Canis lupus familiaris: one gene and its partners. The protein of the gene in region 5 purifies or fractionates together with the protein of the main gene of each other region. This does not show direct contact. Links are inferred from orthologs where the notes say so. Each region holds a gene or a part of one and is shown on either strand. Other genes may lie near its edges.

Region 1 (3,805 bases), on a different chromosome or scaffold from region 5:
GAACTAGAAACTGAAAAAGTCTAGTGATATACCACAAATTGCAGACACACACTAAAATGAACACAAAGTACAGCTGGACGCCTGCTGAAAAAAAGGCAAGAGACCCTTTATCTCAGAAAGAGCTTTTTTCCAGCAGGAAAATGGAATTTCAATCCCTGCATTAACAACCTAGTAATATTTGACTTGCAAATGACTACTGCATGTATCAGTTGCTTGACAATCTAGATATAAGAGACCGGAGCCATGGCTTGAAAGGACATTTGGCATGTATGATAAACCTATCACGGCTGTTACTATCATTCACTTTGCAGATTATCGTAAACAAACTACAGCAACCCGAAAACATGCCATTCAAGGTGTAGCTGAAATTAGTTAACCTTTCATTTAATTGCACTTTTCACATGCATGACGTATAATAATCAATTGTGAAAATCATAAATATTATATGTGGCTTCGCTTACTTTTATCTATAAAGAATTTTTTACCTTAATAGCACATTTGAAATATTTAAACAAACGTTACCTCTTCTGAACAAAGCGCTAGTATGAGTTGCCTTAGAACATCTCCTATAGGTTGATTTTCAGCTTTTAGTTTTTCAAGTGTAGTCTCCAAAACAGATGATGGCAGCTGCATAGTCTACAGGAAAAGGAAAGTAATTCACTACAAAAGGAAAATGTGCCCCTTGTCATTCTTCCCTTTAAACTGACCTTTCCTAGAAGTATAAATGCTATCAAGGTCATTAATCTGGGGATCCATGGATGGACTCCAGGGATTTTTTTAAACTCCTGAGATACGCATGCAAATTTCTTAGATATGCTGATTTTTCTGAGATGAGGAACAGCTGTTATCAACTTCTTAGGTGTATGCAGATGACAAAAATGTTAGGAACCACTGGGTTCATAAGGACCCAAGCTAGAATTCTCTGTAATTAAATGTGGTGGTTATAGTATGTAGAACCTACTTACTTTTCGAGAGTCAATCTTCTCTCTATCAACCAATATATTAACATCCTAAAATTGAGATTTAAATTAAAATTAGAAAACACATGGAAAAATATATTAGCCAATGTCAAAAGGAATTTTAGAAGTTTCAGCTCATTTTATTATTTTTCTATCTTTTCAAAATCTTCCAGAAATTCTATTCATACTTCATTAACCATTGTAAAAAATATTTTAAACACATTCTTCAATATATAAACAGTATTTACTAACCATCAATGAAAAACCTTCTTTTAATGGTTGTCATTTAAGTAAACGGTTTTTGGCCAGAAGCATCATACTAAATACAATTTTAACATGCTTTTATATATAAATTAAGTATTTTTTAAAATTTTGATTACTATTTCACACACACCTTAATCAATTCAGGAACGTGGTAGCTATCCAGTAGATTACGAATGCCTCTGTAGAGATTTTCAGTAATTTTTACATTCTGTACAAAGGGAAAGAAGAAAAAAAAAAAAAAATCCTGAGTTTTAGACAACCAAACTGAAATTTGTCTAACAGAAATTATCTCAGACATAATTTAAGTCTCCAACTCGTGTATGTCATTGAGAAGTGGTCTGGTTGTACTTAAAAGCAGCAATTTCAAATCTAATAGATACATGTCAGACAGGACAGGCATTATATAGCAAAAAATGAAATGGTACCATCTCCTTCAGCTGATGGAAGTATTGTCTCAAACGCTCCTCCTTGGCCTGTACCTCTGAGTCACTCATGCTGTCAATCAAGTTATAAAGAAAATAGCCAACAGCTTCTGTGGAAAAAAACAAGAGAAAGCATTCCACTAAAATTACTGAGACTGTCATGTTATCAAGATTAATTTATAAGAAATCATTTTGGTGTGAGATGTCACCCTGATGAGAGGCTCTGAAATGGCAACACTGATCACTGAGGCATAGAGATTATGTGGTTTGGGAGCACATATCTAACTGGTGAGTGAAAGGAATATTAATTATTTTCAGACCGAGTGACAGCTTTTCAGTACTGAATCTTACTTCAATCTATTTTTTTCCACCACTCTGTGACAGAAGTGGTCCTGCCCAAGGCCTTACCCCTTTCCTGTCCAAATCACAAGGAGGAAGAATAAATAAATGCCTTGTACACATTTCTGCACTAATCTTTTGGTGGGCAATATTTAGGGAACACATAAAATTAGGAACAACTGTCAAATGTTGAGTATAGAAAGTTAAATAATTTTAATAAGTAGATACAGTAATCCTGTGGAGAGCTGCCTATTAGCCAATGAAAAACCAAGATTAACAAAGATGTTTTGTAACAACAGTAATTTTCCTATGCATTCAAGCATAAAATGTATATGGCCATGTGTTAATACCTAAGATAGAAAATCTGAACTTTCAAGAAGGGTACCTTCTTGAAAACCATATATTCTAGGCTTTATTATATGGAAAATAAAAATCATTAAATGCCAAAATACTATATTTTGGATAATAAATTACATTTAAGTGGGGGAAAAGCCTAAAGATTAAAGATCTCTTTTATTTAAAATTAGCCACACCTGCAAAACATTAAAATAACAAACACTAAGAATGACTCATCTTTAAGTCTATTTTCCTAAGTGCTATACGAAGCATTTCCTTTCTTCAAACAGAAAAAAAGCCTCCAATCCTGTCTGTAAAACAATTACGATGATAAAACCAAACACCTCAGAGATCTCAAAATGTTGTGGTTATCAATATAAAGATTTATAACCAAATGTTTTCAAATTTCACTTTCAAAAAGAAAATGTTTACTGCTGTAATCCTTCTAGCCCATCATTACACAGAAGAATGGATTTGTGGATAAGTTACAATCATCGAAATTGAAACGCTACCCGTTGGTCCTGGAGGCTCTTGGCAATAACGTCCATCCTTATACAACAGTTCTGTTATCTGGTAAGACAGAAAATGCACGCATTGCAGCAAGAGAAGCAAACAAGAACAAATACAATCTGAAATTGAATTCTTGAAATAATAAAGCTTCTTCCCAGTAAGGTATTATTCTATATCACAGTAATTCAACACTACCCCCACCAGCCAAGGAAATTGTTTCGTTTTTAAATAACAGGTTTGTCTTTAAAAACAAAAACAAAACAAACCCATGTTGAAGGAAAACTACAATGTTTCATGAACTGTCACTAAGAAACCCTCCAAACAGATTTGTTTATATATTTTGTTTATATATTGTTTATATATTGTTTTAAAGAAACAGGAAATAGTTTATAGGAATTATCAGCCAATATATTTCTCATTGTGTTGTTTTTGGTCTTATTGAAATTGGACCAGTTTCCTCCTTTCAAATGATGTATTACAGAAATAATAAAGTAAAACACACTAGACTGCTAAATAGTTTAAATTTTTTTTTTTTAGTTTTTTCCCAATGACATTTTTCCAGGTATTTTAATGGCATTAAAACCAAAGGAGTCAAAAGCTCTAATGTGCTTGTTCTCACAGATTCCTATCAGTTGATTGTACAAACACAACATTTATTCAACATTAATTCTGCTAGCAAAATTTTAACTGAAGAAATCCAAATATGTATTTTATGATGAAAATGACTACAAACCTACAGTACTGACCTATAACTTTTGAACACAGTATTTGACTATACATCCTTGGGATAAAGACAGTAAGAACGGAAACAAACGGCTCTTTTCCAAAGTGACATAAGCTAGGAATTCTGAACTACTTTATGTCTATTCTATGACTGAACTTATTTGCTCTTAAGATACTGCCTCGCATGCACTTACTTCTACTACTATTAATTTGCTAATATAGAAAATTGGGCAAAATTGACCATATCTCACT
Region 2 (3,805 bases), on a different chromosome or scaffold from region 5:
GACTTGCGTTCTGAGAACCAACCTTCGGTTTTGCCCAAAAGGACACTGAACAGCCAAGACAGCTACTGCTTTACCTTCCTTTTGGTGTTACAGAAGATGACAGCCTGAGTGATGGTCAGCGTGTCGTAGAGGTCACACAGTGTGTCAAATTTCCACTCTTCCCTCTCCACCGCCACAAAAAACTGCTTGATGCCTTCTAGAGTCAATTCATCACTGGAAGATACAGACAAGTGCTGTGAACTCATCCGCTCACCGAGACCTGAGGGCGCACACAAGCCGAGCACTGCTCCTAGCCTGGCCCACGGCGGCCCCCGCCGCTCCCGGCCGTCAGCACTCCCGCCATTCGGGCCACATGCTGACCTGTCTGAGCCTTTAACAGCCACTAGGTAGCCCCTGTTTTATGTATTTTACCCCCACAACACAGACGGACAAACACCATCAGGTGGTGTATAAATTTCGAATTACTGGGCCAAGGGGCAATACACATATGTAAGCTGGTTTCTCAAACCAGAAAACAAAGAATTTTCATGTTTTAAGCTTAAATACAAGCTACGTGGCTGTTTTTGTACCACCCAGAAGCAGGGTGTTCTTACCGCTTCACCAAGATGCGGATGGGGTCTGTCATGAACTTGTTGGTCATCTCCAGGATTTCGTGAGGCAGTGTGGCACTGATAAGCACCACCTGCGTGGCCGGGGGCAAGTACCTGTACACATCGTAAATCTGCTCCTTGAAACCTGGACACAGAAGGAGGCACAGGGAGTCTGAAGGTTGCACTTGGACACAGAAGTGACGACTGTGAGGTGTGAGGTTTCCCCAGGAATCTTCCACAGAACCAGGAAATCCACGTGCCCCACTTCTCTGCCGCTCCTCACCCCTCCCCTCCCAGGTGGGCTCTGGGGATCACAGCCCCACCCGGAGGCCTGGGTGCCAATGCTTAAGAGCAAAAGAACCCCAGCCCTGGGTCATCCCACGACCTCGGCTGCCTCTTGGCAGTCAGGACCCCAGTCCCAGCTCCTGCCACCCTGTGAGGATCTGTCCGCTGAGGAAAGATCACCCACATTTAAGAGAATCCAGGGATCTGGATTTTTATAAAACAATCTTCCAGTTAAAAAAATCTTCTATATGTATATACGGAATCATTACAGTTGTGTACTAGAAACTAATGCATCACGTGTCAATTATACCTCCATCGTTGGGACCTGGCCCACAGGTCACTCACCCCACCCCCATCTCTGCCTGACTGGGCAGGACAGGGCCAGGAAGTATGTGTGAGAAAGCCCAGACAAGGGGGTCCCCAGCCTCCAAGAGAGCCCATTCACAGACTGAGGTTGTAACCAAACATCAGAGCCCAAGATCTGCATTTCTAACAAATTCCCAGATAACGTGAACCCTGGTGGTCTGGAGACCTCACTCTGAGAACTGCTGCCCATGGGACAGGTGCACAGGAGCCACCAGCAAGCCATGGCTTCCTCAGACACTAAGGAAGCCACCTGAGTGCCCCAGTCACTATGCCTCTCTCTCAGCTGAGGAGCAAAGTCTTCAGGTGAGAAGCCCTGGGCTGGAGGGGCGGGGGGGCAGCCCTCAGGACAGCATCAGCCTCCAGGGACCTGGACATCAGAACCATTGAGGGTCCCACCCGTGCAGCAGATGAGCACTGAGAGGCAAGCACTCCCTCCACCTGGATGACCCCGATGTCTATGAGACACCCCATACCCCCCAGTATGATGTGGAGACCGAAGGGGAGGGCGTGTGCAGAAAGGACAAGCGGGGAGACACGAGGGAGCACTGCCTGTCGCTGCACGTAACAATGCCCCGGGCTCAAGGTACATCTTCACGATGTATTTCCTCACCGCTGGACTAACGCCACAGCTGCCACACAGAGAGGCATCACAGATCTGTCCTCAGACACTCAGGTAGAAACAACATGAAAAGCCTAGAAAGTACACGTCCCAGTCTAGAAATTTATCCTATTAACTGGTAAAAGAGTAAAATCAGCCTAGACAACTAACAGGACAACTAGTTAAATAAATGACAGTCTCTAGACAATGGGACGCCCCGTTGCCATAAATCTAGCTTCCCTGACACACCGTTGTGCCCCCCACAACCCACAGTAGGCATTTCTACACGCCTCATCTCAGCCGCACACCTCCCCATCTATGCTGAGCTCCAGACATGTGGGAGCAATGCTGCGCCAGTCTGGGCGGAGATGCTGTGGTTCTGGCCGTGACTGCTCTCAGCTCCCCAAGAGCCAAGTACAAGCTTCACGTTCACAGCTGCCCGGAGAGCACGAGGGCATCTGCTAGCACCGAGAACACTGGCGTTAGCTCCATGTTTCAGCTCCACGATGTGAACGTGTTAACATTAAAGTCAAGAGAAAATCTCTGCTTTCGTGACTCCTACCTTTATTTAACATTTCATCAGCCTCATCCAACACCAACATCTTGATGGCCCGTGTCCTCAAACTCCTGCGCCGAATCATATCTGTGGAATCAGTTTGATATCCTTAGACCTCGGACCACGAGGAAACAGCCAGCCATTCCCCCTGGTTTTCAGAGCATTTCTGAGGCCTCTTGCCTACTTCTTACATCACTTGCACGCAAGCGCTACCACACAGCACAGCAAATGGAAACGGTCCTGGGTCCTTCAAGCACTTCTTGTAACGCCCCAAGCACTTACCAAAGACACGTCCAGGTGTGCCAGCAACAACGTGCTGCCCGTAGTCCAGCTTCCTGATGTCCTCTCCCACATTGGTGCCCCCGATGCAGGCATGGCACTGCACATTCATGTAGTCCCCCAGAGCGAGCAGACCCTGAATTAAAACAAGGGTCACGTCTGGGGCCTCACCTCAGGACCAAAGTCAGAGACCTCCAAGTTTCCCCAAAGTGAAGGTAATCTCTACTCCGACATACCAAGTACTACTTATTCCATCGTTTACACCATAAAACTACAAAAAGACCCAACCTCCTGCTTCCATGCCAAAATAAAGTTCACTTTACTGGTTTCTTATGAAAGAAATACATTTTAATTACAAAAAGCCCTGGAAATACGTAAAACTCATAATTTTAGCCACTCACAAACAATTCTAACAACATCTTAATATAAAGTACAAAAATAACTACTAAAATGATTTCTTTGTTGAAAAAAACTACAATTCTGAGACTGCAAAAAGATACTGGAATCATACCAGCTACACTAAAAATGACTCAGTAAAAATGACTCAGTATAAACCAACAACATAAATCATAACAATGATTTATGCCAAAAATCAGGAAGTAAAATTTGAGGGAAAAAAACAGGATTAGATTAAATCAACCAGCCAACCTTTTACACCTGAATCAGAAAGCAGCACTTGGGAATACAGCACTAACTCTCAGTGGCTCACCTTCTGGATCTGCACAGCTAATTCTCTCGTTGGAGCCAAGATCAAAGCCTGGGTTTCACGAACCTGGTAAAATAATTTGTCAGAAAACAGAGAATCCTCAGTATTCTCAAGGCAGACTGCACGAAGTCAGATGCAGATCTATCTTGAATGTTACATCGCATTAACCATACATCTCATTTCTAATAGAGACAAAGGAACCTGAATGTAAGTTCATGTGTGAACCCAGTCATCATGGGGTTCACTGGGCAGAATTCTTGCTTGGCCACTAAAAGAATGCCCACTAAAAATGTCTCTCTCCATTTAGCTGACAAGGAACTTAGGACAGAGTATTAGTTAGCTCTCCTATTAGTGTGTAATTAAGAATATCATGAAAAATTTGAGTCAGTACAACTAAGTACACATTTTTAAAAACCGTCCTTTTC
Region 3 (4,361 bases), on a different chromosome or scaffold from region 5:
AGAGCAAATTGTCATTGATAAAGGCCATTGTTTTTTTTTAAGATTTTATTTATTTATTTATTCATGAGACACACACACACAGAGAAAGAGGCGGAGACACAGGCAGAAGAAGAAGCAGGTTCCGTGCAGGGAGCCCAACGTGGGACTTGGTTCCAGGTCTCCAGGATCATACCCTGGGCTAAAGGCGGCGCTAAATCGCTGAGCCACCCGGGCTGCCCTGTAGCAAGACTTTTAAATGAAAACCAGTCACCTGCTAATTTTTTTTTTTAAATTACAGGGACACCTGGCTGGCTCAGCAGTTGAGCGTCTGCCTTTGGCTCAGGGCGTGATCCTGGAGTTCCGGGATCGAGTCCCATATGGGGCTCCCTGTGTGGAGCCTGCTTCTCCCTCTGTCTATGTCTCTCAAGAATAAAAATTTAAAAAGTAATAAAATTTAAAAATTGCCAAAAAAATACCACAAAAACAATGTTAAAATTTTAAAAACTAGGGACGCCTAGGGGGGCTCAGCGGTTGAGGGTCTCTGCCTTCGGCTCAGGGCGTGATCCAAGGACCCAGGATCAAGTCCCACATCGGTCTCCCCCGGTCTCCCCGTGAGGAGCCTGCTTCTCCCTCTGCCTGTGTCTCTGCCTCTCATGAATAAATAAAATCTTTTTAAAAAATTATTTTAAAACCTAAAATAAAAAAGACCTAGTATGTAATAAATCTAATCAAATTACAGAAATGCATACAGGCACAAGAGATGACTAAAGATGGGCTTGCTTAAAGACCAGTAATTAGTAACATCAGCAACCTCTCCCAAACTTCATAAGTAGAAATTTACTCACTTCAAAATGAAGAATCTTGACTAGAAATTAACACTGAAAACATCACTTTTCACTGACATACCCCAACGCATTTTTTTGTCTAACCGGAGAACCCGAAGTATTTTCATTCTTACTAGAAATTCAGAAACCGTTAACCTTTAAAAAAATGACTGTAAGTAATAGAATTACATTTAAGATAGGGAATTTCGACCACGTTTTGAACTGAAAGAGTATCTGAAGTGTTCAGAGCTCTTCCAGCGCCACCAACTTCCGGAGACCTGAGGCGCGGCGTTAACCTTGGGCACCTCGGGGGCCCCCTTCCCGGCGGGCGGTTCCCCCCACTCAGCGAGCCGTAGCTCGCGGACCCCGCTCCCGCCACGCACGCGGCCGCGGGGCAGACAGGAGCCCGGACACCCCCAGGTAGCTGTGAGAGCTAAAGGAAGCACGTTCCTGCGTCCTGAGGCCTCGGGGGAAGGGAACTACTGCGAGGAGAGTCCGGCCGGCGGGCCCGGCCCGAGGGACGCGGGGCGGCGGGGGAGGGGGTTCCTGCTGGAGCTGGGGAAGGGGCTCTCCGGGGTCTGGGGATTTGTCCGGCGAGAACCTGAGAGCTCCTGAAGGGAACAGACCAACAGGGAGGGGCCTGTGGCCTCCTAACCCGGTCTATAAAAGACGGGGTCGGGCGAGTCCCCGGACTCTGCCGGCGTCACCAGGCCGCCCGGCGCCACTTTCAGGGACCCACGCGGGCACACCGAAGGTAGAGGGCGCAGCGCAAGCGCCGGCAGAGTCCAGAAGTTTCTTAGGCGCAGTCAAGAACCAGCAAAAAATACATTCAAGGATACAAAGAAATAAAGGGCAAGGGAAAAAGAAACGGCCGATTAAGCTCGCTCCGCGTAAGTGTGGTCACCCGGCAGAGATAACGAGAACCAAAGAGTTTCTACCCAAAAACCAGACACAATACCTCTAAAAGCAGGAGACAAAACGGAGACCGGCGCTCGGCACTCACACGCCACACCGAGAGGAAGAAAAGGCCTCAAAGACCGAAAGTGGAGGCTCAGCGAGCGGGAACGTGGGAGGGGGGAGGAGTCAGTTGCCAACCAGTCTGGTGCAACTCAACCACGTGAAAGTACTGCTTTCATTTTTAAATGAAGCCCCTCTCCCACGGTCGTCAGGTGCCCTCGCGCTATTTCTGGCAGGGCGCTCAAGCTCTGCTAACCCCGGAGGCCGCACCAGGCCTTTCCTCCCTCCCTGCCTCCCGCGGCCCTGAATCCCAGCCCAGCGGTCCAGTCCCCGAGGGGATGGCTCTTGATCTCAGGCCTGCCTCCCCGCACCCGCGATCTCAGTCCAGGGGTCCAGTCCCCGACTCTACGGCCGTGGACTTCTGACCCCACCTTCCGTGACCCCAATTCTCAGCCCCAGGGGGCCCAGTCCCTGACCTCAGCCCCTGCCTCTCCCGACCCCAACCCTCAGCCCCTGCGTGCCCAATGCCCATTCGGTCCCCGTGGGTGAGGCCCCTGACTTCAGACCTAGCCTCCCCCAAATCCGTATCCCAGCCCCGCCGCCCCCAGCCCAGAGGGCCCGGTTCTCGGTCCGTCCCAGTGGTGCGGCCCTCAGCCTCCGACCCGCCGCCCGTCCCGCCCCTCACCTCGGGCTCCGGGTCTCCACGCTCCCGCTCTTCACATCCGGCACCTCGATCGTCCCTCTGAGCACCTAGAGGAGGGTGGAACGCGGGGAACTTGGCAGTTGTAGCTGAGGCAGTTGAGGCTTGTTTACCATCACCATGGAAACCCCTGGCAGCGCGCCCTGGGCGGGGCCCCGAGGGGCGGGGCCTGGCGCGCGGCCGGCCCCGGCGCACAACTCCCGCCCGTCGGGCGCACGCGGCGTTTCCCGCAGCCCGCTTGCTCCGGGCTCGCCCAGTCCCCGCTCGGCCGCACCCCAGCACCCGAGGGCCGCTGCCCGGAGAGCCCGCGCCCCCACCCCACTTCCGGCTGCTGGCGTGACCGCCGGCCGCTTTCCCCGCGGAACCCCACCTTCTTCTCCAGGAAGACGCGGCGAAGGGCTACTTCCACCACGGAGCCGGAAGGACGCGAGGAGCGCGGCGGGGCGGGGCGGGGCCTCCGCGGCGTGCGTCCAGGGGCGGGGCCGCGAGGGCGCCATTGTGCCGCTCCCGGGGCGGAGCCAGGGATTGGTCTGCGGGGCGCGGGGCAGGGCCGGGGCCTGCGGAAGGGGACGCTGTGGAGAGGAGAGCCGCTGCCTCGCGCCAGCCCTTTCTCAGGGCGGGGGAGGGTCTGACCGCGGCAGCGTTGAGCTCCGGGAGATGCTGACTGGGAGAGTTCCCCCCCTAAACCGGGACCTCAAGGACTCCGGTATTGAAGATCAGCGTGAGAGAAAAAAAAGAGTAATTTCCTGCCAAGGAGAAAATAGGGAACCGAAAACAGCGAGACGGATAAAGGCGGCTCCGATTGCAGAATTTAGGGAAGGAGTAACATGTTCACTGAGGTTGCTCACATGTTGATTACTTGGGCTGAGGAGTCCCCGGTCTCTGAAGGTGACCCAGAAGACCCAAGGGAACACCTGAAACTAAAGGCTGGGTGGAAATGGCTTCCCAGCCTGAGAGCAGTGGAGACTTCTTGATGTGTTCTGGAGTTAGTAATTATCACCATTTTAATTTTTGGAGACTCTTTATAAAGAGGATGAGATCAAGGCATTCATCACAGGTTTCACAGAACAGATTATTTTAAAATCACTGGTTAAATTAAGGGAATGTTTGGAGCAGTGGCAGATTATGAGCGGATGACAGTAAAAAGCAGTTTGTCAAAAGCTGATTCTAGGAAAGAAAAATGGGAAAAGTGAAAGGAAGAGCTGTTAGAGGGGGTGAAAATGTACAAGGAGAAAATTAAAGCAAAATTACTGAAAATGAGTCCTACAAAAATCAGGTAGGTGTTCCCACAAAACTCCACAATGACTTCATCATAGCAGACTGTAGAAAAGTGGTTCTGGAGAGAGAATGCAAGCAGCCAATCTGAGGCAAATATTAAAACGGTAACAAAAAATAGTGCTTCAGAATTAAGGGACTGTGAAGCCAGGTCCAAGAAGATATGTTTATATAGTCCGTTAAGAGAGACTCAAGCTACACGGGCTCTTTGATCCCTTCGAGGGGCTCCCTGTTCATTATTGATCAACAATGCAATAATCCTTTTTTTTAAATTTTACTTATTTATTAATGAGAGAGAGAGACAGACAGAGGCACAGGCAGAGGGAGAAGCAGGCTCCAGGCAGGGAGCCCCACGTGGGGCTCCATCCTGGGTCTCCAGGATCAGGCCCTGAGCTGAAGACGGTGCTAAACCGCTGAGCCACCCGGGCTGCCCAACAATGCAATAATCTTTGAGAGCCTCCCTGAAAGAAAGATTAGAGCCTTGGCCTGATTATGAGCCTCTCTCTGGTCTTGGGAGTAATCCTAGGTGCCTATTAATGTTTTTTTCAGAGATGAGAACCAGCAACATTACAGGTAGACCCTCTTTCACAGTGAGGCCTGAAATTGTTCATACTGGTGCCACAAAT
Region 4 (3,805 bases), on a different chromosome or scaffold from region 5:
CCTCACCCTTCCTCCCTTTGTGCCTACCACCACCATCAAGTTGCTGAAGAGCCACTTACATTTCTCACAAATATCTGGCAGGCCTTCCTGGCCACCCCAGGAGCATGGCCTCCAGCTCCGCCAAAGGAACCTGCGAAGCTTCCTCCAAAGTTGCCACGCTCCATCTCGATGGCGCGGTCAAAGCTGGCACCGCCACCGCCACCCATGGCCAGGCCCATACGCTCAATGCCAGCACCTAGGGCTGGACCCATGGCAGGACCCATGCGCTCCAGGCTGTTGGCGCCCATGCGCTCCAGGCCCATGCGCTCGAGACTGTTGGCGCCCATTCGCTCCAGGCCCATTCGCTCCAGGTTGTTGGCGCCCATGCGCTCCAGGCCGGTGGCCATGCGATCCATCACAGGGCCCATGCGCTCCAGGCCAGCCCCCATGCCTGCGGGCACCATGCGCTCCATGCTCAGGCCCATGCGCTCGATGGCAGGGCCCATACGCTCTACACCAGAGCCCATGCGCTCAATGGTCTGGCCCACGCGGTCGATGGGCGCGGCCATGCGCTCAAGGCCAAAGCCCATGCCGGCACCCATGCGCTCCACGCCAGAGCCGATGCGCTCCATGGTCTGGCCCATGCGCTCGATGCTGGAGGCCATGTGGTCGAGGCCCAGTGGGCCCATGCGCTCGATGCCAGAGCCCATGCGCTCAACTGAGCCCATGCGGTCCATGACCAGGCCCATGCGCTCAATCTCGGAGCCCACACGATCCATGCCATGGCCCAGGCCTGCGCCCATGCGCTCCATGCCGGCACCCCCAATGCGGTCAATGCCAGGGCCCATCCTCTCGATCCCAGGGACACTGCCTCCACCTCCACCTGGAACAGGGACACAAAACAGAGGCAGGTATCAGGGACTTGCACACTTGTGTGCACACCATGCCAGGAGGGTGACCTGGGTGCAGAGGCTTACACTTCACAAGCTCAAACACAGTTCAGGAATTAAGTCCCACAACAATTTACCATTAGACATCCCTCAAATGTCAAGGCTTAACTGTTGTTAAGGCAGGGTAGTGAGGACATTGTTCTTCCTATTTCTATGCCACAGCTTACATTTCCATAGTAAAATTTTAAAAAGGGAGAAATTCTACCCTGGAGGACTGTGTCAACAACGTTCTCCACCATTACTTCGGAAGCCCTAGTACTTCTAACTAGCTTTGTGAGCCATGGTTGTCAATTCCCAAGAACTGTGAGGTCTCCCCACCAAATGACACTGAGAAATGCTCTCAAAGCTCAGAAACCCCACCCTGAGTTGGTCAGTCTGTAAAATGGATTACATGGATTGTATGTGACAATTCAAATCACTCACAACCTTTACCCTCTCCCAGCTTGTCCCTCTCAGATGCCCTGCTGATGGCCAGTCTGGCTGCATTTCCTTAGCACCTCCAGGCATAAAGAAGCTAGTATACAGCCATGTAAATAAGAGTAGATAAAGAAAACAAACACCAATATAGACCCTCTATGTCTAGATAGACAGGCACTTCCAGGGAGCCTTACTCTGTGAGGAAAACCACCAAATAACTTGTGTATAACTCTGCTGGCTTTAGAGGAAAAGAAGTCAATGGCATTGCAGAGTAGATTCTAGAAGAGGTCTAAGATCAATTCTCGATGCCATGGTTTAGCTGGACACATGCTTTCGTGTCAGCAATGCAGTGACCCTGTTTTGCTGGTAACTCTGTAGAAGGTGGGGCTGGCTCCACCTCCAAGGCCACTGCCCACCACTTTTCCACATTCAGAGCCTCTAAGGGTCCCTTCTCACTCAAGCTTCGCCATCACCACTGCCACCTGCCTCTAAAAAAGGTCAGCTGAGTCCACAGCCAGCCCATTAGTGACCCAAGCAGCCCAGTCCAAGATGTAATTGAAGAAAAGGAAACTCAGAAGTTTCTGTGAGTCTCTGGCTGACATCACATGTCATTCCACTTCTCCATTTCCTCAGCTGAGTAACAGCACACCAAGTGGCAAAATATAAAAATTTAAGATTAGTCTTTTTTTGGGACACCTGGGTGGCTCAGCAGTTGAGTGTCTGTCTGCCTTTGGATCAGAGTGTGATCCCGGGTTCAGGGATCGAGTCCACATCAGGTTCCCTGTGAGGAGCCTGCTTTTCTCTCTACCTATGTCTCTGCCTCTCTCTCAGGAATAAATAAATAAATCTTTTTTAAAGGGGGGGGGGGGGAATATTAGTCTTTCAGAGCAAAAATTTCTAAAAGTATTTAAAAAAGCAAGATACTAGAAAGGGCAGTAGCATGCTCAAGAATATCATTAATCAGGCTGACCCCCTGGATGCCAACAGCAACAGAGAACAAGGGGAAAACGGTGCCCACATGGAGTTCTAGTATCACACACCACAGAAATAACCAGCAAGTGGAGCTACCAAGGAAATGCCAAGACACTCAGAGCCATGGGGAAGTGAGGCATTCAAGCTGGAAAAGTTCATTTAGTTTTAAATACCCATTTTTTTTAAAAAGTGTATTAATGAAAAGATATTCCCAAAATGTTTACAACACTCATCACTGGGTAGTGAAATTGCAGGTATTTACTTACTTTATAATTTTCTTTTTTTTTTTTTTTACTTTATAATTTTCCAAATATTTATGAGTACATGTGTATAGCTTAGTAAGCACTTGTTAGATTTGGAGGTAGTATACCTTTTAATCAGGTATTTACTTTTATGAATTTACAATTTTACAGTATTTAAAACAAAGGCCCCAAATTACATGGAATTATAATAACAATGGCTAATGCTTACATATAGCACTTATACAAATATTTTTTTCTATGCATTAACTCATTTACAACAACCCTATGAAGTAGGTACCATTATAACCCCATATTACAATATGGAAAACAGAGAGGTTCAGTAACTTGCCAAATGTCACACGCTAGGAAGAGACAGAGCTGGTTCCCACCCAGGCAGTCTATTTTAGAGCCCATGCTTTTCACCACTACACTCTTACTATCCCCAGTAATAACAACCTATTCTAAAAATCAAAACATCAAAACTAAGCGTTTCCTACCTCCTCCCTGCTTTGCAATGATCTCTCCTCTCTTCAGTGCATTACTTAGGATTTCTAAGGAAATCAGGAAGAAAAAAAAATTAGCCAAATTTCTCTACGATAACAGAAATTTGTTTAATACAGATTCCAGAATAAGAATATTACTAATTTAAAAATAAAACAAGGAAAGGGGGGAGGGATTAAGAAATACACATATAGACAGGATAATTTTACTGGAAAACCGTAAGAGTCCTTGATGATGGGTCATGATTCTAGGTTCCCATGTAGCTCCAGAGTCTGAGGCCCAGTTGGCAAGACCATCTGGGAATGCGCCCAGCAGAGCTAAGTAAAGAGTCAGTATGCACCAATGAATTGAACTGCGAACATCAGAGCAAGAATGGGGGTGGGGGGTAGCATAGTTTTCTAAAGCTGATCCAGACCCTCAGTACTCAAACTGAAGCCTGCACACACCCACCAGATTCGATCAACAACTCACGGTTATCTCTTAGCAAACTCAAGCTATGGCTGTACTGTCAAAGTCCTGAAAACCAGCAACAATTGCATGCAGTGCTGAAGTATGACCTTACGAACAAGTCATGCACGGAAAGACTCCAGCATGTGGAGCCCACCAGCCCCACCTGGAAGGAGCTGGGTGTGACAGTGACAGACAAAGCTTTAGGAAAACAAAAACCCTACCACACTCAACACTTTGTCTCAAATAGAAAACACTGTTGCTTATTTGCCAACAATTAATCCAAACCTCTTTCAA
Region 5 (4,552 bases):
ATGATGCTTTTTAAGAGCATTAAATCCCCTTAGGGACATAAACTCTAAAGGGCTAATCTAGCTTTTGCACCAAGTACTTGGATCACTGGATACCTACCACTACCACCGCCATAGCCGCCTCCGCCTCCTCCGTTGTTATAGCTGTCATAGCTGCCACTCCCGCCATAGCCACTGCCCTGGTTTCCATAACCCTGTCCACCACTTCCATAGCCTCTGCTTCCTCCAGAGTAACCAGGGCCGCCTCCTCCATAACCACCTACAAGAATACAATTCTTCTCAATAAGACAAAAGTATTTCACAGTCAAAACCTGTGCAAGTGTAATGCCTAAAAGCCTGCTCACAGCATGCTGTTATCAGAGCTGTTTATCATGCACTAGTTTAGCTCTACTAACCTAGTCTAAAGGTTGCCAAACGAAACTCCACCTATATATTCCTTAAAATAAACTTACCGTCATTACCAAATCCGTTATAGCCATCCCCACTGCCACCATATCCACCACCACCTCGACTGCCACCGAAGCCACCTGAAAGAAAGTAGAGTTTTAAACCACCATGAAGTGTACAGAGTATACGTGTTCTATGTTGTTTTAAAGTAGAATTCTATAAAGATACTTCCTGTGCTACAAAAATGATCCCAATGTTGATGATTTAACTTTCTGGTTAGTAAAAAGCCAGATCTACACTTGGATAAAATTTAAGCCAGGAGTTAATCTGCTGCAGAGGAAAAAGGGACCTGGGGATAATCAAAGTATAAATTTATTGTTAACTTTGAGTGGTAAACTTACCTCGACCACTGAAGTTCCCTCCACGACCAAAGTTGTCATTCCCACCAAAACCACCTCCACGACCACCACCAAAGTTTCCAGAACCACTTCGGCCTTAAAACACAAAAGTTTTAAATGTTACATTATACGGATTGGAGAATCACTCAGTTAATTAATCCTCACGTGCAAGGATTAACTGAACAAACGCACCTCTTTGGCTGGACGAAGCACTAGCCATCTCTTGCTTCGATAGGGCTTTCCTTACTTCACAGTTGTGGCCATTCACAGTATGGTATTTTTGAACTAAAAAAAAAAAAAAAATTCCAAGAGAACATGACCTCAGGCTTTAGAACGTAACATGGATTTCAGAAGCCGTAGCAAAGAGCATGCCCGACACTTACTGACAATCTTGTCTACAGAGTCGTGGTCATCAAAGGTCACAAAAGCGAAACCTCTCTTTTTGCCACTGCCTCGGTCAGTCATGATCTCAATCACTTCGATTTTCCCATACTGTTCAAAATAATCTCTTAGATGATGTTCTTCAGTGTCTTCTTTAATGCCACCGACAAAAATCTTTTTCACAGTTAAGTGGGCACCGGGTCTTTGAGAATCCTATTGTTGGGGGGGGGGACGGGACGGACACAATTCCGTTATTTACACCGACCAAGCCACCCCTAACCGCGAGGTCCCCTTGGCGGCCCGCTTCTGCGTCTGCCCAGGAAAGAATAAACCCTCACTCACTTCTCGGGAGACAGCCCTCTTTGGTTCCACGACTCTTCCGTCCACCTTGTGCGGCCGGGCGTTCATGGCCGCGTCCACCTCCTCCACGGTGGCGTACGTGACGAACCCAAAGCCTCTGGAGCGCTTGGTGTTGGGGTCTCTCATTACCTGAAAGGTGAGCTCCCTGAATACTGAGGAGAACCCCGGAACTTCTCACGCTGAGTTACAAATTAAAAAAAGAAAAAGAAAAAAAAAAAAAAAAAGAAAAGCGCGCCCCCTCCCCCCCCCCCCCGCCCGCCCACGAGGCCCTCCGGCTCCCCGGGGCCGCCACACGTGCATCTCCTCCCGGGAGCGCCTCCGCGGCTGGGACCACCCCTTCCGGCGCCGGCCGGCTCTCCGCCCCAGTCCCGTTAACCGCCGTCGGAGCGGCGGAAGCCACCTCGCTCCCGGGCCCTCCGTCTCCGGCACGTCTTACCACACAGTCCGTAAGCGTCCCCCATTGCTCAAAATGGCTCCTCAGACTCTCATCGGTCGTTTCGAAGCTCAAACCTCCGATGAAGAGTTTCCGCAGCTGCTCGGGCTCTTTGGGAGACTAGGAGCGGGGACACAGCTCGTTACGTGGCGCGCCCAACGCCCAGCCCCGTCCCGTTGGGAGGAAAATCCTAGACAGCAGCGTTACAAGGCACGTATTGTTCCCTCGGGTTACGGGAGGCCACGTGCTTCTCCCCTCGGGGGGGACCGAGCGGTGGGGGCTGGGAGGCCGCGGGCGCATGCGCCCCGACTCTCCCTCCGACGCACGCGCAACAAAAGGACTCGGCTGGACGGACGCCGAAGCGGCGGGGAACTACGGCTGCTCCGCAAGAAACTCGCTCCCGGAGACACGATCAAACAAAACCCGTCGAATGCGCCCGCGAGTTCTGCCGGGAGGGCGCAGCCCGGCGCCACAGCCAAGCGCTGCAGGACGGCGGCCTCATGGCGACGACGAGGACAAAATGGCGACCTCAACTTCGGGAGGGGAAGGCCCTGGCGGCCCCCGAAGGGCTGCCGAACGGGCTGGCGCGAGCGGCCACGCCAGGCCGCGTCCTACCGGCCCCAGGGAAGGAGTGAGGAAGGAAACTAGGCGGGAGACAGCGTGTTACTCACCTCTGACTTAGACATGACGGCGGTGGGAGGGGAGACTTTAACGATGCTTACTCGGCGGCGTCCAGGGGCAGAAAGGAGTAATCTAACGAACGTATCTGCCAGCCTACCTTCGGCCTCGCTTTTTTATCCCGCCTCCTCGCTTTAGGCATTGGTAGACTCCGCCCCTGAGCGTCTCTGATTGGATGTTTGCGATAGCCTCCCCCTGCTATTGGTCTATAGCCCCGCACTGCTGCGCAACGTCATCCGCTTGGGCGTTCTACGCAGGCTCCGCCCCTTCAGGTCTATTGGTTCCCGGGTAATATTATTCCTAATTACTGTGATTGGCTCGTCAACCAGTCATTCATATTTGAACGAACCTAAGGTATTTAAATGAATTTTCAATCCATTCCGCCCCGAAATTATGTTCCGCTCAGTTGGCGAAGCACGGTAAATGCTAATATATTACGAACGAGGTTATCAGGTGATTTTTTTTTCTTTTTTTTTTTTTTTGCAAACGACCGCCCGCCGGGCGCATGTGTAGTAAAATGGCGAGTTTACGCAGGCGCACTAACCAGTTCCGCTCGGCGCTTGGAGCACGTGAAATGGCGGGCGGGAGACGGCGGCGACTCTACGGCGCCTGCGTCGTGGCGGGAGTCGCGCCCCGCTCTGCGCAGGCGTAATGGGCGGAGAAAGGGTCCGGTCGCAGGATTGGCCGCGCAGGCGCAGGGAAGGATCCGTTTTGGCGGGCGGTTGGCGTTGCGCAGAAGGCGGCGGCGGCGGCGTCCCGTGGTCCGGCCTCGCCACAGAGGAACAGGGGAGGCGTTGGCGCGAGTGGCCGGTCTCGATTCCGGGTAAGCGGCGGATCGTCTCGCCTACTCATACGAGGTGTTGAACTGACTCCAATTGGGCCCGTTATTGTGTGAAATGAATGGAGCGCGGGGTGGGGGCTCGTAAAGGGGGAGCGCTGGGTTCAGCCAACCAATGGACGGCGGGGGCGGGATGTCTGCCGGCCGGGAGTGCCGTGGGGCTCCGCGGCCCGGAGTCTGACTGGCTTGCGCGCGGGCCAATCGGGTCCGCCTTTGCCGCCGACGGACGGGCCCTCGGGCCCTCGGGACGTGGGGGCGGGCCCTGCGCCCTGAGCAGCGTCCCGCCGAGCCAATGGGCGCCGAGCGCGCCGTAGGTTGGGCTCCTCGGAGGCGGCGGGCGGACTCCGAGGGGGAGGCCCCGCTGTGGAGCCGGCGGCGGGCGGCCTGCGGACGGCGCCCGGGCGGGTCGCCCAGTCAGCGGTGCGGAAGCGGGAGGCCTCGCTGCGGGCTGTGGAGGAGCGGGCGGGAGGGCGCGGGGGCGCGGGGGCGCGCGTTCTCTCCACAGTGGCCGCCGGCGCCCGGCGCTCGGGCCTTCACCCCACACGCGTTTCCGGTAGGGAGACCCTGACTCTGTGGCGTGTCGCTTCGGCTTCGGCATAACCGCTCCACGCGCTCGCGCACGCGCACGCGCACACGCACCCCGGGGCTTCTGGTCGCCCCGCGCGTGGAGGCTCCCAGGGGAGCTCGGCCGGTCGTCGGGAACCCGCTTGGCCGGCAGCGTCCGCGCGCATCGGAACAAGAGCCGCTGCCGTCGCGGACAGGCGCCGACCCACGTGTGCGCGGAACGCCGCGGCCTTCCCCGGACCGGTGGCGGATGCTCGTGAGCCCGCAGGAGAAGTGTGGGAAGGGCCGCCTCCCGCCGTGCGTCCGTGTCCAGGGCCCGGGTGGGATCCGGGCAGGTGGCGTCCCTCCCGCTCAAGTCCTTTCAGGGATCGCAGTTTGTGACTCGGTGAAGATGGGAAAGGCAGCCCTCGTGTTTCCAGGCACGATCCCCTGCTCCTCCCCTCCCCCTGTGTCATCCCTACACCACGAGAGAGTGCTGTCCTCCCCCCCCCCCCCCCGCCCCCCCGCGCGCCGGCG
Region 6 (3,961 bases), on a different chromosome or scaffold from region 5:
TGGTGGAGGGGGGCAGTGCAAAGAGTACCATAATGTGACAATGCAAATCAAAAGCCTTAAAAATGTGGGTACACTTGACTCAACAATCCCACTTTTAGGCATAGATCTTAAAAATAATGATACAGTGAACAATTTATGTATGATGGTACTAATGTGTGTTTATAAAAATTAAATTTAAATTTCAGTGGCAGGGGCACTGGGTGGCTCAGTGGGTTAAGTATCTGCTTTTGGCTCAGGTCATGACCTCAAGGTCCTGGGATCAAGCCCCATGTCCGGGACCCTCCTCAGTGTGGAGTCTTGCTTCTCCCTCTCCCTTTGCCTGCCATTCCACCCTGCTTGTTCTATCAAATAAATAAATAAAAATCTTAAAAAAATAAGTTTCAAGTGCAGAGGACTTGTATCAAAGAAATGGTTCATATGATGGAACATTTTTAAAAAATTAAGCTGTTGGGGCGCCTGGGTAGCTCAGTTAAATGTCTGCCTTCAGCTTAGGTCATGATCTCAGTGGCCCGGGATTGAGCCCTGCATCCAGCTCTCGGCTCAGCGGCAAATCTGCTTTTCCTTCTTTGATCTCTCTGCCTCTCTCTCTCTCAAATAAATAAAATTTTTAAAAGAAATCAAGCTGCACAAGATTTTTCATTTTTAAAAGGAAGATTTATTTAACAAGTTTCACTTAGTACAATACATCTAATGGAAATCACAATACAAGGAAAGGTTTAAATCAAAGTCTCAGAATCTCATACAAACAACATGACCAAACTCCTAAAGTATTGGTATTACATCTCAAAATTGTCCCAGATCTTTAAAAAAGTAAAAGTGTACACTCACGTGCCTTACAGGATATTAAACCAAAAAGCTAGAATTAACAAACATGCCAAATGTTTTCACTTTGAATCGTAGACACAGCTCCTATATTTGAGTTTTACAGAAAAGCATGTTTCTCAACATGCATCCAAAGTTTTCAAGGTATTGTGGTATAAGAGCAACATTTAACATAAGTGAAACTGCTTTAACCTAAATAATGCTTACTGCTTAGGTATACTCCTACAATGTAACTAACTTGAGGAAAGCTGAAAATTGTTTTAACAGTTATGGTCAATACTGAACGTTGTTATTACACCCTAGATGAATGTTTCAGTGTTCAAAATTACTGAGCTTAAAGTTGTAAAACCTTGACTTCCACTTTACAGTAAGCATGAATCACAAGCCTGTAATGCAAAACTGTTAAACTTAACTTTTGTTTTCTTAAAAAAAAAAAGGAAAGAATGAAAGAACGAAAGAACGAAAGAACGAAAGAAAGAAAGAAAGAAAGAAAGAAAGAGGAAGCTGACCAAGAGTGATCAGAATCAGTATTTCCCATTTACCAATCATACTGGATATACTAGACATCCCTCCCATTCTACAACTCCCATAAATGCAGAGATTTTATTTTTGTAATAGCTGTTTAGTATTGTTTACTTAAGCGAGGTTTGACTGATAGTCACTGGAGTTTTCCTGCAGCACTTGGTCATATCCACTCATACTGCTCTGACCACCGTACCCACCTCCATAACCCCCGCTTAGCTGCTGGCTGGCAGGGCCCCCATAACTAGATTGGTTGGATAAGCCCATTCCTCCCATCATTTGACTACCATATGCACCACCACTTGCCCCTGCTGTAGAATTCAAAAAGAGTTCTACATAGCTGTGATCATAAGCACCCCCACTTGTTCCTGCAGTAGAATTCAAGAAGAGCTCCACGTATCTGTGTTGCATATTAGCTTTGTCTTTTGCCATAGCTGCCACAGCATCTTCATGGGTAGCAAATTCAACATCTGCCTCACCAGTAACTCGGCCATCGGGTCCAATTTCAATGTGCACTCTCATGGGGTTAAGAGGTGAGAAAAAATTGTAAATATCATTCTCAGTGGCTCTGTAAGGTAATCCCCTCATGTGTACACAGTGCCCTGTGGTGCTCTGGAAACTGGACCCACCATCTCCATATCTATGGTCAGACATCCCTGAAAAACAGTAATTGAGGTCTCTTCCAAATCTATCAGACCCAAAGCCATAGCCATCATTATAGCCACCATAGTCATCATAGCCTCCATACCCTCCACCATAGGCACCACGCCTCATCCTTTCAAACCCAGTCCCTCTGCCAATACTATTATACCCTCTGCCAGCCCCTGGCCTATCATAAGGACCTGGCCGCTGCATAGCCATGAGCTTTCGCGGGGGGTCGTAGTGGGTTCGGACTTCAGCTCGGCTACTCTTGAAGATTTCAATGTACCTATGCCCTATTCTTTCCTTGTGTTTCTTTAAGGCCTTTTCAGCTATCTCCTGCGAAGCAAACTGCACAAAGGCCTCCCCCGTGCTCCGCCCCTGAAAGTCCACCGGCAGTGTCATCCCATTTGGCACAATTTCCAACCCTGAAAAGAACTGAACAATCTCTTCCTTGCTACAGCCAAATGGGAGTCCTCTAAGCCGGACGAAGCCATCGTTGGCAGTATCAGGACTATTCGGACCTGTATGCTTCAACACCCAATCCATTTCAACACTGTTGGACTTGAACACTTCAACGTATCTGTGTCCCATGGTTTCTCTGTCCTTCTTCAATGCCAATTTCACTTCATCTTCGGATTCAAGTTCGACAAACGCTTCACCACTTGGTCTGCCTTCTCTGGTATAGATGAAACGAATACCTGATGTGCCGTTTTGGATCTTGCAATCAGAGAAGAAGCGCATCACTTCATCAGCTGAGCAGGACCAGGGTAGGCCCCTGACCTTCACCACGAACCCCTCCCTGCCTTCCGTGCTCAGCATCATGATGATTGTTGGGCTCTTGGTGGCAAGCTTGGCTCAATGCAGTTTCAGTGTAGCTAAAAAAAAAATTAGAAGACTATTGTCATGGAAAAATGTTCACAACATAGTAAGAGAAAAAAGCAAACCAATAATATAAAACTCAAACGGATAGCTTTGTTCTAAAATATTCATATAAATAAAAAGACTGCACCAAATTTTTAATTCATTCATCCAAAGATTATTTACTCAATACCTATTATGTGTTGAATACCGTTAATAGTGGTTATTTCTGGGCAGTAGGCTTATGGGAACTTTTTTATTAAAGGAGTATTTTCTTTGGACATTTCTATGTTTTAGGTTTTCTATATTGAACATATATTAACATCATAGAACACAAAAGGCATAAAAAATCAGCAGCAAAATCACTGGAAGCTGTGAACAAATACGAGATAGCTATACCTGATTACATAAAAATGAAAAACTTCATTACATCAAAGGTAAGATTAAACAGAATTAAAAGACAATACACTTGAGAAGACACAACAGTACATTAATATCCTTATATAATGAACTCATGCCAATTAATAAAATCAAGGAAATATTAAGGCCTAAGCAATAAATGGGAAAAAGACATTAAGGGTGATCATACATTCATTTTATATTTTTCAACTGGCAAGTCCAGTACTTGGCTTTGGGATACAAGGATCAATAAACCAAGAAAGGGTTTATAGTCCTACAGGGGCATTATACATCTTTACTAAAGGCAAAAGGGCAAATAAACATTATTCCTGCTATGACAAAATTCTGTATAGCGTGAAAAGGTGGTATAAAACAGGGACTAGTTGGTCAATTCTAACAGTTGGCACAGAATTGTTTAAACAGACTCACCAGTTCAAGGATCCACAAATAAATTTTTAAAAATTACAATGGAGCATAAAATAGGATGAGCCCAGGCAAGAAGTTAAGGCTGGCAAGGTAGAGAGTAAGATCCCAAAGGCCTTACTTGATAGACAAACGTTAAGAGTCTTCTAAGGGTTTTAAAACAGAGGAGTGGGGTAGGGGAGTGAGGGTAAGGGAATGGGTAAGGGAGTGGGTAAGGGAGTGAGGGGAGGAAAGTGAGGTAACCAGAGCCTTTTCAAATAATAGATCACCCTGGCAACAGTGTGGAACTCAAACA
Region 7 (3,805 bases), on a different chromosome or scaffold from region 5:
TCCCAGTGGTCCTCACTTTTCGCTCTGTTTGGCCTTCTGGAACGGGGCAATTTTGAGTGGACAGAAGGAAACAGCTCAGAAAAGGCCTGGAATCATCTTCAGCAAAGAGGTTCTCCACTGGCAACATGATCTACTCCAACCCCCAAACCTGGATAAACCAACACCTTGCTTGAGACAGTAAGGAGATGAATCTCAGTGGGTCCACAATGTCCTTCTTCCCGTTCCCAAAAGCATCTGGCAGAAAGTCTTGGGTAATGTGGCAACTTTGCGAGGTCTTTCAGACTGGAAATCAGGTGGCCTCCCTTTCCACCAGTAAGTCAGGTTTCCCTGTTAAGAAGTGTCCTCTGGCTCTCTGGGAGGAACAAGCAAGGGCCACATTTCATGAGGCCTCCCCACCAGCAGAGCTGGTCCACTGCTCTGGCGGAGGGAAGTACAATTGAATGTATTCATAACACTGATATGATGGAGAATTCATGATTTCCTTTCTCATGCAGTAGTCCAGAGAAGCCAGATAACGTGGTTGACATCCTCAAATGGTTTTCCTTTGATACAGGGAAAAGCCTGAGGGACATGATCCCTTACTTCTACAGCTGACCTCTTATGAACAGGAGTTGGGATTATGAGCTTATTCTTCCCACTCGCCCCCATACTTTACCTATGCCAGTTCATCCCCAATGTATTTCTCCAGCTGCCTGCATTCACAAATATGAGCCTCCATCTCTACAGGTCTAAAACCTCTATATGGACCCGCAGTCCCACAGAACCCTATGCAAGCCTATTTATACCCTTAGTATGATAGGTACATCCATTACTTTCCAAGTGGCTTCTAGTACTAACAAGACAGTTTATTTTTCTAATTCTGTTTATAAAAGGTAGAAATCATAACAGATTAACTGCAGCAACATCACACCAGGAGCAAAAGAAGCAGTCTGACTCTTTCAGTCCAGTCTCTTTTCTGGCAAAACAGAAATGTAATTTAGTCAAACACATACAGAGGCCCCGTTGTGCCGCCTCACCAATGGATGGAATGCCCTAGGGCAATCCCACTGCCCTTTTAAACGGTGGCCTCAGAGCAGTGCAGCATTACTGATGGCAACTGTCCAGTACCATTTAGCTAGAATTGGTAAAAACCATTTCTCTAGGCAAGCAGCTGACTGGCTACTACATAACTGTGCTGAGGAGTAAAGCTCAGCTTGTCTGTCAGTGGGAGCTCTAAGAGGCTCCCCACCTCCTCCTTTTCAGCTAGGGGTAAGGAGAGACTGTTTACTAGCGTCTTAAGATGAACTGTCAATTACTGAGCCCCTCACCAAGCACTCTGGAACTCCCTCAAGTATGTTGAAAATCCTTGCATTCAAAAGGCTGCTCTCTCTGCACCCATTGCCACATGGCACTCCCTCTGGGGCCCATTAACACAGGGCCATAATTGGCTCTTGAGGACACTCTTGAGCAATGTGTTTTCAACTAAACCTCAGGGAAGACAGCTTGGTCCTACTGCCATTCCAGCCTCTATAGGTCCTTTGGGATCAGGGACTGAGTTGAGAGGTCTCCAAGCAAGTAAGGAGCTGAATTGGCTCTAGCTCTTATAGCCTCAGATCTGAGGCTGATAGGCACTCTTCTTGCACCCAACCTGCTTTTGGCTAGCTACTTGCCGTCTCGTTCTCTTTCAGCTAACATTTCCTCTACATTGAGATTCTTTTCAATGAGATCCAAAATCGTTGCTAAAAATGAAGTGGGGCTGGAGAATAAAGTTAGATATGATTAAGTTCTTATTATCTACTAATGTGGCCTAGGCACCAGCAGCAAAGGCCCTGCAACATGACCTAGGCCTGGCCATCTCTCCTGGTCTAACGTAGAAAAAGATCATCATCAACTTAAAAGTCTGCTGCTCCAACCAGACCAAGCTGGACCTGAGCCCTAGTTTAAGATACCTACTTAGCCTTCCAAGAGTAACAGTACCCCATTTCACCTTAAGAGCTCCTCTTTCTATGCCACATCACACAATTTCAATAAGAGAAGGACAGCTACTGTCACATCTACCAACATCTCAGCTTTCTAAAAGCTCCTCTTTCAGTATGTGACTGGTGGCCCCCAATAATTGAGTCACCAGCATTCCTGCAGGCACTTACTTGCACACTTTGCCCACCATGGAAATAAAGACATACCATAAGCTTCGTAAGAATCTTGAACCTCCCCATGTCCATAGTCATAATATTCTGAGTCCCTGAAAGCCAAAGACAGAGCGTTAGAGAGCTAGAGTAACTCTTGTTTCCATTTCTCATTCCTCTCACATTTCAGTCATTTTAATAGGTGTGGAAGACAGGAAAATGCTCGTTCTGCCCCATCTCCAAACCAGAAAACATTTCAAAACATATAGGAGCTAGTAATTATTTTTTTTAAGGAGCTAGTAATTATTAAAAAAAAATTGATAACCATAGCAAAGATGGATGCCACATAATTTAAAGTGAGAGAGCATAATCCAAAACTGACCATCTTAATTATAGTGTACACACACACATTTATAGGGCTCATTGGAAGAGAATAAACAAACATGCTGTTCCTGTCCCCACTGTATAATTATGAGACACTTTTCAATCAATCACAGACAAAATATGTATACACAAAAACATTATTATTTAAGACGAGTGCACAAAACAACCCAAGTTATGGTAGTAAGATTCTAGGCTTCCTTTTAAACTTTAATGCACTTTTAATGTGACAAGAATACATCAAAACAATTTAATGGCATTTTCCCTTCATTTCCATGCGGTCACAGCTCAGTAATTTTCCATCTGCTATTCCCAAATTCTACACTGTAAATTAAGATTCACAGCTATCTAAGCTTATAGATCTGTGTGCCCTACAGATATGGAAAGTAAAGGCGATACTTTCCAAAAGGGAGCCACGCTGCTCCTTAGATGTGTCCTACCTAAATCTCTCAGTTGCTCAAACTCCCTCCCATCCATCCCTAGGACACGAAACAGCACTTCTATTGCCTGACTTACCCTTGGCTCTGGCTGTAATAGCCTTCGTAGCCTTCATAACTCTGTTCTGCGTAAGTATCATCATATCCCTGGAACAAATAAAATGAAATAGTCAGAATCACACAGAGTAGGGAAGGTAATTACAACTCATAGGAGGATGGCAGACTCCCAGATTAACAATGCAAAACTTCCCTCCAAAATTTACACTCACTGGGGAATTGTTGAGAGAGAAAGGGTTATTTTTTTAAAAAACGAAACAAAACTGAACTACCAACCAAACCAAATCATCTTTCAAATTGTGGGCAGGAAACAAGGTAAACAGTTGAAGTTGAGAATTATCAGTAGTACTAGCAAAAAGACCCCTTACTAAAAGACTATACATATCAAGGTACAGCCTATTTCCTGTTTAATCTATTCACACATAGTAAACTGCTTAAAATGGAAAAAATCTTCTCATATTTTAATGCTCACTGCAAGAGAAGAGACTGACTCCAGATCTCTTATAGGTTGTCCCTGCCACCTATGTCAAAGGCCAACGCCCTATCATTCAACTTTGGCAACCTTCTAGGTATTGGGAAACAGCACACTGTTCCAACTCCTTACATATTCTTCATATGTTTCCGGCGCAGGGGGTGGAGGCAAAGGTATTCTCTGGATGCCTGCTGTCCGTGCTCTTGGTGCTGGAGCACCCCTCACCGTAGGTGGGGGTGGCACTCCTCGAGTCACGGTGGCACCTCTAGTGATGGCTCCTCTCACTGGGGTACCACGCACCAAAGCCCCCCGAGGTGGTCCAACACCACGGCCCCTGCAAAAAGAAAATTTAC

What was found.
Region 1: the proteins of HNRNPA1 (region 5) and LRPPRC purify together in Homo sapiens (affinity purification with mass spectrometry; 3 studies listed by BioGRID, with this or other methods). This does not show direct contact. The link is inferred for Canis lupus familiaris from reciprocal best matches to the Homo sapiens genes HNRNPA1 and LRPPRC.
Region 2: the proteins of HNRNPA1 (region 5) and EIF4A3 purify together in Homo sapiens (co-immunoprecipitation; 4 studies listed by BioGRID and IntAct, with this or other methods). This does not show direct contact. The link is inferred for Canis lupus familiaris from reciprocal best matches to the Homo sapiens genes HNRNPA1 and EIF4A3.
Region 3: the proteins of HNRNPA1 (region 5) and HNRNPF purify together in Homo sapiens (affinity purification with mass spectrometry; 3 studies listed by BioGRID, with this or other methods). This does not show direct contact. The link is inferred for Canis lupus familiaris from reciprocal best matches to the Homo sapiens genes HNRNPA1 and HNRNPF.
Region 4: the proteins of HNRNPA1 (region 5) and HNRNPM purify together in Homo sapiens (affinity purification with mass spectrometry; 6 studies listed by BioGRID and IntAct, with this or other methods). This does not show direct contact. The link is inferred for Canis lupus familiaris from reciprocal best matches to the Homo sapiens genes HNRNPA1 and HNRNPM.
Region 6: the proteins of HNRNPA1 (region 5) and HNRNPH2 purify together in Homo sapiens (affinity purification with mass spectrometry; 3 studies listed by BioGRID and IntAct, with this or other methods). This does not show direct contact. The link is inferred for Canis lupus familiaris from reciprocal best matches to the Homo sapiens genes HNRNPA1 and HNRNPH2.
Region 7: the proteins of HNRNPA1 (region 5) and KHDRBS1 purify together in Homo sapiens (co-immunoprecipitation; 4 studies listed by BioGRID and IntAct, with this or other methods). This does not show direct contact. The link is inferred for Canis lupus familiaris from reciprocal best matches to the Homo sapiens genes HNRNPA1 and KHDRBS1.

The regions. Positions count from the first base shown.
Region 1 is NC_049231.1:47,443,210-47,447,014, forward strand, and holds part of LRPPRC (leucine-rich PPR motif-containing protein, mitochondrial), read right to left. Parts: intron 2,891-3,805; coding exon 2,833-2,890; intron 1,756-2,832; coding exon 1,649-1,755; intron 1,432-1,648; coding exon 1,354-1,431; intron 1,011-1,353; coding exon 966-1,010; intron 637-965; coding exon 523-636; intron 1-522. UniProt on the Homo sapiens protein: May play a role in RNA metabolism in both nuclei and mitochondria. In the nucleus binds to HNRPA1-associated poly(A) mRNAs and is part of nmRNP complexes at late stages of mRNA maturation which are possibly associated with nuclear mRNA export.
Region 2 is NC_049230.1:2,448,139-2,451,943, reverse strand, and holds part of EIF4A3 (eukaryotic initiation factor 4A-III), read right to left. Parts: intron 3,447-3,805; coding exon 3,384-3,446; intron 2,811-3,383; coding exon 2,678-2,810; intron 2,483-2,677; coding exon 2,402-2,482; intron 736-2,401; coding exon 594-735; intron 214-593; coding exon 75-213; intron 1-74. UniProt on the Homo sapiens protein: ATP-dependent RNA helicase. Involved in pre-mRNA splicing as component of the spliceosome. Core component of the splicing-dependent multiprotein exon junction complex (EJC) deposited at splice junctions on mRNAs.
Region 3 is NC_049249.1:3,803,242-3,807,602, reverse strand, and holds the start of HNRNPF (heterogeneous nuclear ribonucleoprotein F), read right to left. Parts: upstream 2,919-4,361; 5' UTR 2,831-2,918; intron 2,517-2,830; exon of another isoform or gene 2,511-2,516; 5' UTR 2,446-2,510; intron 1,907-2,445; exon of another isoform or gene 1,762-1,906; intron 1-1,761.
Region 4 is NC_049241.1:53,435,607-53,439,411, reverse strand, and holds part of HNRNPM (heterogeneous nuclear ribonucleoprotein M), read right to left. Parts: intron 3,112-3,805; coding exon 3,058-3,111; intron 863-3,057; coding exon 60-862; intron 1-59. UniProt on the Homo sapiens protein: Pre-mRNA binding protein in vivo, binds avidly to poly(G) and poly(U) RNA homopolymers in vitro. Involved in splicing.
Region 5 is NC_049248.1:45,637,489-45,642,040, reverse strand, and holds the start of HNRNPA1 (heterogeneous nuclear ribonucleoprotein A1), read right to left. Parts: upstream 2,896-4,552; 5' UTR 2,643-2,895; coding exon 2,628-2,642; intron 2,077-2,627; coding exon 1,960-2,076; intron 1,653-1,959; coding exon 1,506-1,652; intron 1,377-1,505; coding exon 1,166-1,376; intron 1,068-1,165; coding exon 975-1,067; intron 879-974; coding exon 786-878; intron 525-785; coding exon 450-524; intron 257-449; coding exon 98-256; intron 1-97. UniProt on the Homo sapiens protein: Involved in the packaging of pre-mRNA into hnRNP particles, transport of poly(A) mRNA from the nucleus to the cytoplasm and modulation of splice site selection.
Region 6 is NC_049260.1:75,730,503-75,734,463, reverse strand, and holds the end of HNRNPH2 (heterogeneous nuclear ribonucleoprotein H2), read right to left. Parts: intron 3,892-3,961; exon of another isoform or gene 3,673-3,891; intron 2,862-3,672; 5' UTR 2,809-2,861; coding exon 1,459-2,808; 3' UTR 633-1,458; downstream 1-632. UniProt on the Homo sapiens protein: This protein is a component of the heterogeneous nuclear ribonucleoprotein (hnRNP) complexes which provide the substrate for the processing events that pre-mRNAs undergo before becoming functional, translatable mRNAs in the cytoplasm. Binds poly(RG).
Region 7 is NC_049223.1:68,522,335-68,526,139, forward strand, and holds part of KHDRBS1 (KH domain-containing, RNA-binding, signal transduction-associated protein 1), read right to left. Parts: intron 3,787-3,805; coding exon 3,585-3,786; intron 3,071-3,584; coding exon 3,003-3,070; intron 2,222-3,002; coding exon 2,163-2,221; intron 1-2,162. UniProt on the Homo sapiens protein: Recruited and tyrosine phosphorylated by several receptor systems, for example the T-cell, leptin and insulin receptors. Once phosphorylated, functions as an adapter protein in signal transduction cascades by binding to SH2 and SH3 domain-containing proteins.